2 linked regions of the Mus musculus genome follow. The protein of the gene in region 1 interacts with the protein of each later gene in a pairwise test. Links are inferred from orthologs where the notes say so. Each region holds a gene or a part of one and is shown on either strand. Other genes may lie near its edges.

Region 1 (4,171 bases):
GAGGACCAGTGACGTGGTTACAGTACTAGAGAGAGATGAGAGAGAGGGTCTTGCTATGTAGTCCAAGTTGCCTTTGAACTCAGTCTTCCTGCCTCTGTTCCTCCTAGTCGCCCATTAGAGGCATACACTACCACATAGGTTCCCATTAGATTCTAAATTCATATTTTCATATTATCCCACCACCCCTGTCAAAGGACTGCCATTGCTCTCTGTTTTTATTCATTTGAGATAAGGTTTCATTATGCAGCTGGCTGGTCCGGCACTCAAGAGATCTACTTGCCCCTGCTTCTCAAGTGCTGTGATTAAAGGTGGATGCCATCACGCCTGATTGCCTCTACCTCAGCCAGGAAGCTTTACAATTGTCTCCCTTGGGTTCCACTGTATTCAGTCAGCACAGACCAGGTTCCTGAATTGTCAGTCCTGGAGGCCCACGAGATTGGCATGGAGATGGCAAACCCCACCAGTGGATGGCTTTGCTTGGTTTCTATTATTTTGGTTGCCAATTATTCAGCTGGTCAGATGAGAGTGGGGGACTAACCAGGTAGGAGTCAATTTTTCAGATCAAGAAGGCCCTTTCTTGATGATTCTGAAGAGGTCTGTGGCTTACCTGGTTCATGTTGATATTTGATATCTCAACCTTGGTGTAGCCTAATTCTATTGCTATAGAAACAGGGAAACTAAGACCCAGGAGTGGAGAATAAACATGTCCAAAGTCAAGCAGCAGCTAAAAGTGGTGCTGGCAAGCACTCGGGCCTCCTGTTCTCCATATCCTCAGTGAGATGCTAGCTACACTCTGCCTCCACTTCCCAAGGCCAGGAGGCTTTGCACAAGTGAGTGATCTAACAGCTCAATGCTAGGACCCCATCTTTGAGTAAACCCGGGCGGGGGGGAGGGGAGATAACACACATACTGTCTTGAAAAGCAGATTCTTTTGAGTTCTGACAGAGCAGGTTAGCCCATGAGATGACAGGTGTTAACTCCCTCCCCTCACCAATAGCTCCCCCCTCACCTAGACCCTTGGCTTTCTTCTTCTCCTGTGGCCTCCGATGGTCTCGGTCTCCAACTTCATCACTCGCTCGGATCTCCTCTGTTCCAGGCTCTCCCTTAGAGGTCTCCTTCTCGCCGTTGACGACTGGAATGCCTGGTTCAGGCTCCCCATTCCTGGCTGCATAGGTTCGGGACTTCTCCGTGTCTTCCGGCTCAGTGGGCTCACCCTGTGCTCCCTCCTCAGCCGGGCCTCCCTGATTGTTGTCCACACAGTATGTACTCAGGATGTCTTCCAACTGCCGGCTCAGCTCCTCAGAGACGTCACAGAGGGCCCCAGGCTGAGCTGCTTTAGCTCGAGCCCCTACAGCAGGAAAGATGAAGACACGGGATTAAAGTTCAGTGGTCATACCACTCGCTTGGATCTTCTTTAAGCCCAGATAAACACACTGGTGTGGGTTAAATGTTGTTTTATTTATTTATTCGGTTGAGTTAGGCTCTCTCTACAGGGCCCTGGCTGTCTTGGAACTTAGTATGCAGGCTGATCACAAACTCCGAGATCTGTCTGCCTCTGCCTCCTGAGTTCTGTGGACAATGGTGAGGGACACTAGGCCTGGCCTCAATTTAAGTTTTTTTAAACCCTAAGTTTGTTTAGTTATAAAACAAGTATTTCTAACACCCAAACATACTTGTTATAAAAGCCAACTGTGTAAAGCACCCCTGTGTGAGGAGCAGTTGGCATGTGGCAGACGCTGCACCTCATGAAGGACAATTACCCACCACTGGCAAGTGTTCTCTGGGAATATGACTTTGCTTACGGGGTGCTTCATTTGACTGTCTTCGTTTAAACCAGTCAGAGCATGCTCCCAAGGTTGCGCCCCACGGCTAAGAGTGGGAAGGTTCACCACCTCCCCAGGAAACAAAAGGATCACACAGAATGAGCATCGTTCATTCTATAGTTCCTTCTTCTTGGGTAAACACTGGCCTCAGAAGACAGACCAGTACCAGAAACTCCTCCCTCTGCCCACTGGAAAAGCAGAGCTGGCACACACCCTCGGTCTTCCCAGGAGCCTGGCTTGTGGAACCTTCGGCTTCCGCCCCAGGAGCTGTCTGTCTGGGTCGTCCATGGGCTCCCTCCGGTCCTGCTTCCCGTTGCCCCGGGCTGCCCTTCGAGTTGGAGTGTTTGGCAGGCCCATTCTTTTTGTCTTGGTTCTTCATTGTGATCTGCAAGGCCAGAAATGGGGCAGATCCTTTAAGGACCCAGTTGCTTTTTTTTTTCTAGACTTCAAAATTCTTCTTCACAACTAGATAAGAAATCCCCAAATCTGACGCTCGAAGCTTCAAACAGACCGGTCGGTCTTCGCCCGGGATTTCACGGTCCCATGGAAGGTTTCCGAGAAGCTGCCCCTGAGTGAGTGAGGGAAGGAAGAGGCCTCCTTTCTCCCGAATGCCACTTCTCGGCACCACACGGCTCCCTCTCGGCAGCCGGAGCGCGGGATTGGCTCAGAGCCGCAGACTGACGTGGCGGGATGCTCCAGTCCCGATCGGCTCCCCGCCCCACCAGGTCCCACGTGGGACCCCCGCGCGCGCGCGCGCACAGAAGCCACCCACACCCCACGCGCCCTCTAGACCTAGAGTACGCACGCGCAACACTGGGGCAGGCCGCCCTCCCCCCGACCCCCCGAATTAGTTGTTCCTCTACGGCCAACGCGTCCTGGGCCACAGACCCTCTGAAGAGCTCGTCCCACGTACAGCCCATAGACATACTTCACCACGGACGTCCGGCGGCGTCCTCCTCTCCGGCCGAGCACCGGAAACCTAGGTAACTGCTGCCAACAGGACCGCCCTCTCCTGCCGCAGCCAATCAACAGCAAACGCGGGCGCGGAGCTTGCTGGGAAAAAAGAAGTCAAGGCGGCTTTGGAGGCGGGAGTGGGAAAAACTACGAGCCCCTTCATGCCTCGCGGCGCCGCACAACTCCCGAGATGCAACCGAAAAGCATAGGAGCCAAATACCCTGAGGGTCCGAAATTATGTCATTGGTCGAGAGATTTTTGTCAGCCTCTTTTCTGGTACTGAAGCTATGATTGGCCTTAAACTTTGGCATTCTGGTCTTTTTTTTTTCTTTTTTTTTCATACACTCATTAGTCCTTTATAAACATGTATGACTTTCTATGATCTCTGAGAACTCGGAAGAGGGATAGAAAGGTAAACTAATTTGTTATGTGCCTGGCATTTTTTTCCCCTCTATTACAATAGAAGGTTTATAATAATTCAAACGTTTTTTCCTCGTATCCAGTAGCTTGATTCTCATAATTACTCGGATTAAGTACAAAATACTCAGTGATCTGTGAAATATACGATAGTACAGAAAAGCCTAGTTAAAATAAAACAAACTACTATTTGTTTGTTAGAGACAACATCTCGTTATATGTGGCTTTGGCAGGCCTGGAACTCCCTATGTAGATTAAATTGGCTTTGAACTCAAGAGTTTTGTCTGTCTTTGCCTCCCCATGGCTTGGACTAATGGCAAAGGCCACCAGGTAAAGGGTAAATAGTTTAAGGCTCCATCAATATTGTGTGGTTATAGCAGATTCAAAGCTGGAAGCCTGACACCAGCACCCATCCTTTAAAAATATTTCTTTGCCCCCTGAGTCAGGGTTTCTTTGTGTAGCCTAGTGTGTCCTAGAACGTAATCTTTGACTATGCTGGCTTCTAACTCAGAGCTGCCTACCAAAACCGGTTGGAACCATTCTCCGACACCACAGCTGTTCTCTGAGGCAATTTATGCCCCGCCTTCTAACCCCACCAGCTTGGCAATTACTCCCTCAGAAAGGGATTGAAGCCAGGGAGTTTGGCTTTAGGCAGGTTGGTAAACTCCCACCCTACCACCCCTGCCCCACTTTCTGCAAAGTATCAAGTGTTACTGCTTTAAAATGTTAGATTTTTCTCGTCTTTGTTCTTCATTATGATTTGCAGTGCCAGTGTAGGCTCAGAACATTAAAAAAAACCCCACAATTGTGATTTCAATTCTTTTGTTGTGTGGAGTTTGTTTTGTTTGATAAGGTCTTGCTTTATAGAGCTGGCTGGCGTGTAACTCTCTATGTAGATCAGGCTGTCCTAGAAACTCACGTGTTGAAATTACTGTTGGCTAAATGCTGCAGCCTCAAGAGGCTAGAGTCAGGCTGTG
Region 2 (3,688 bases), about 21 Mb from region 1:
TTGCTTTATTTCTATTGGAGGAAGGAATAGGAAGATATAACTGTTATCCAATCTGCTGTCCACTGTGTACACACATACCCACACACATACATATACATACACACCAAAAGTTCCACCCCCCAAAAAAACAAAAACCACCCTCAAACTGTACCAATACTTCATATTTTGACCAAAAGAACAGATCCTGGGAAGATAGATCCTGGGAAGAAGTGCAAAATGCAAAATCAAATGACCGAGAACTGCTGAGCAGACAGCATCATTAATATACAAAATATTTATATTACTGAACTAATAACAGGTGTGTTCTCCATGTCTGTAAAACTTTGGAACAACAGAGCTGATTGTTAAATCTAGTCCATGCCAGCTTCCAAAACCCAGAGGATTTTAGTTAGCTTCATTTTTCGATGCTTCATCAAAATTTTCTACAAGATCTGACAAAGAGAAAGGAAAAAATAAGTAAAATACAAATAAGTCAAAATAGTTGCAACTAGAATTAGTCAAAAAGCAGAAAAGATAAAAAAAAATAGCACATTTCAGTAATAATGACTTTTATAAAACAGCAATCTTAAGGAAATGGTTTTTTAAAATTTATGCAAAAATAACTAATAATATTTTGTCAGTTATAATGCCAACAATTTTTAAAAATTATTTTATTATTTTATTTGTATAGGTGTTGTGCCCAAATGTATGTCTGTGTGCCACGAGCATGCAGTTCTCAAGACCAAGAGAGGGTGTGGGATCCCCTGGAATTGATTTTACAGAAAGTTGTGGGCTTTCATATGAATGCTGGAAATTGAATCCAGGTCCTCAGGAAAAGAAGCCAGTGCTCTTAATTGCTGAGTCATTTCTCCAGCCCCTCAACAAAAATTTTCAGCAATAACAATGTATATTGATAATCATAGTGATTTCAATTTAATATATGCAGGCAACAGAGCTTTGTGGAATATTTTGTGATCCTAAGTTCTGAATGAGGAAGGGACTTCTGTATTCATATATATCCTATCATGAGGATCTCAGTTGGATTCCCTGTTCTTTGTGACCTCTAAAGAATTTAGATAAAACACAAAGAAACAGCATAAAAGACAGGCAACTACATTTGTAATAAAGTAGAGCATACACTCGAGGGGCAAGTGTGACCCAGACTGCATATGAGGCAGGCGGCAGTCTCCTATTTCTCAAGTCCCCAGAACAGTTTTTCTTGAGGGTCTTTGTTCTGTTCAGGTGAGTGGCAGGCCTGTTTGTGCTTCGAGACACAAATTGAAGGCAATAGTGTGTCTTTGTTCTTTCTCAGATAGCCTTCTGCTATCCAGTAATCTTTTATGAGGGTTAGCATTACTAGAACCAGGCTTAGATAGTATTATGTAATGGCAGAGATAGGACTTAAGGGACATTTTTCTGACCTGAAGTTCCAGTCCTTGGCTTTTTGGGCTGATTAGGGTCCGTCTCCAGGGTCTTCTAAGCCAGCTAATACCCAGCTAGAAACCTACCACTATCAATCTCACTCTAAATCAACTGACATTCAGTCAAATAAAAAAAAAAAATCTGAAAGTCATCTATGCAGTAAGTGAAAGAAAATAAATCACTTTTTCTTCATTTTAAAAATTACACTGTGTTATTTTATGTGTGTTGCATCTGTGTATGTATGTGTGCAGGTGTAGGTCAGAAGACAACTTGTGTTGCTGGTTCTCCCCTTCTACTATGTGGGTCCCTGGCCTGAGACAGACTTTACCTGGAACATCATCATCCTCTTCATCGATGTCTTCTGGTTTGGGCGCTTTACTATCCAATACTACAAAAAGTTCATTTGAGTATTAGTCACTGAGAACAAAGAGCTTCACAGAACACCTCCAATACTTATCTTCTCTTTGTCTAAATCTCATGTGGCTGTTGAATACAGACAACCTAAAATTTACTTCTATTTTTTTGCTTAAGTAACATTAAAAACAATAAAAGTTTAACGTGAATTAAATATATACAGAACAGCTGGTGATTCCAATGTGCAGAAAAGGTTAAAGTTACAAAATGTAGATTTTGACAGGCCTGAACAAAGGCATCCTCCTTTGTATCCTTTATTAATCTCCAACTAAAAAAAATATTTGAGACTTATTTACCACTTATTTTGATCTAAGTACCTAGCTATGCAGTATGACCATATAACTACTTAAATACAAGGCTCTTTTATGATCAGAGGCAACAAGACATGTATGAAATAAAAACTAATCTGAAAATTCAGAATTGATGATTATCATTATTTATGATTTTAGTAGCAATAGGTAATACTGTATCTGAATATTCTATGACACATTTCATTAATTAAAAAAGAAAACTACAAGTTTTATGAAACACACAAATGGCATTATAAAAAGTAAAAGAATTACCTACTGAGGAAAATCCTCTCAGTTTAAGTAAAACACCTTTTGTTGTTTGTTTCTGAAACAGTCTCTGGTACAGGCTAACTCCAATTTCCCTATACAGCTGAGGATAACCCTGAACTTGTGCTGGAAATACAAGTGTGTGCCATCATACCTAGCACTGCTGGGGACTGAACCAGAATGTCATGCATACAAGGTTAGGACTGTCAACTGAGCTAGGCCCTAGTTCCAGATGGGGTGCTTTTAACATTAGGTTTTTCTTAGTGACAGCAGGGAAGAAGGGGAAAATACTAAATTGAAATACATACCTTGCCGTGGGAACTGTTCAGCTAACTTTCTAAGGCTCGTTAAGCTGTCAGCACCAAGCTGACTTAATATCCCAGGAAGCATTTCTGTGATTGGTTTGGCTTCTGCATGACCAGTAATTGCAAAGGTGTTAGCGGAGAGGGAAGCTTGGACTTTGGGATTGTTGAAATGAATAACCGTGCCATCGTCTTTAATCATATTCACCTGAATGGGCACAGAAAACAATGTATTTCACATGCTAGACTCAACTACAAATATCTTTTTAAAAAGCAGTATTATCTTACATAGTAGCAATCCTACATAGTCCTAATTATCTCAGCAGTAAATACGGCAGAGAAAGAGTCTCATAATGGATTACAATGGTGCTGGCTAGTACACATTGTTGGAGTGGTTATGAAATAGCCACTCAGGCCTCAGTTCATGGCCACTTTTTTTTTTCTTAAGTAGAACTACATTCATGAACCAATTTCTTAATTAGTTACACAAACAAAATCAGTGCAATTACCTCTTACTTAGAAGACAGAATGGAAGGCGGGAAAAGTATGAAGTAAAAATAACCACTGAGAAACCCACATAGATGACACAGAAATCTAATCAGCCAAGCATTTTACTTTTTTGAATGCTCAGTAAATTTACCAAAATTTCAACCTAGTTTACTGTTATTCTTGTTTGTTTTTGTCTAAGATACTCTCACAATGAATCTTTGCCTGGCTTAGAACTCTGCTTGCCTCTGAGTGCTGGGAATAAAGGTATTTTTGCTTTGTTTTGTTTTAAATGTGTACATATGCACCACATATGTACAGGAACCCCGGGAAGTTTAATAGCCAGCCAGCCAGCCTGCCTGCCTTTCTTCCTTCTTTCCCATTTTTCTTTTTTGTTGTTTGTTTTTCTGAGACAGGGTTTCTCTGTGTAGCCCTGGCTGTCCTGAAACTTACGATGTAGACCAGGCTGGCCTTGAACTCAGAAATCCACCTGCCTCTGCCTCCCGAGTGCTGGGATTAAAGGCGAGC

The links. The genes of interacting proteins can lie anywhere in the genome.
Region 2: the proteins of Txlna (region 1) and Btf3l4 interact in binary tests that used the Homo sapiens proteins (3 or more experiments, as listed by UniProt). The two-hybrid records come from large-scale screens. The link is inferred for Mus musculus from reciprocal best matches to the Homo sapiens genes TXLNA and BTF3L4.

Annotation. Positions count from the first base shown.
Region 1 is NC_000070.6:129,638,220-129,642,390, forward strand, and holds the start of Txlna (alpha-taxilin), read right to left. Parts: upstream 2,847-4,171; 5' UTR 2,752-2,846; exon of another isoform or gene 2,712-2,751; intron 2,587-2,711; exon of another isoform or gene 2,209-2,586; 5' UTR 2,203-2,208; coding exon 2,037-2,202; intron 1,349-2,036; coding exon 1,010-1,348; intron 1-1,009. UniProt on the Homo sapiens protein: May be involved in intracellular vesicle traffic and potentially in calcium-dependent exocytosis in neuroendocrine cells.
Region 2 is NC_000070.6:108,816,456-108,820,143, forward strand, and holds part of Btf3l4 (transcription factor BTF3 homolog 4), read right to left. Parts: intron 2,883-3,688; coding exon 2,681-2,882; intron 1,790-2,680; coding exon 1,730-1,789; intron 432-1,729; coding exon 385-431; 3' UTR 1-384.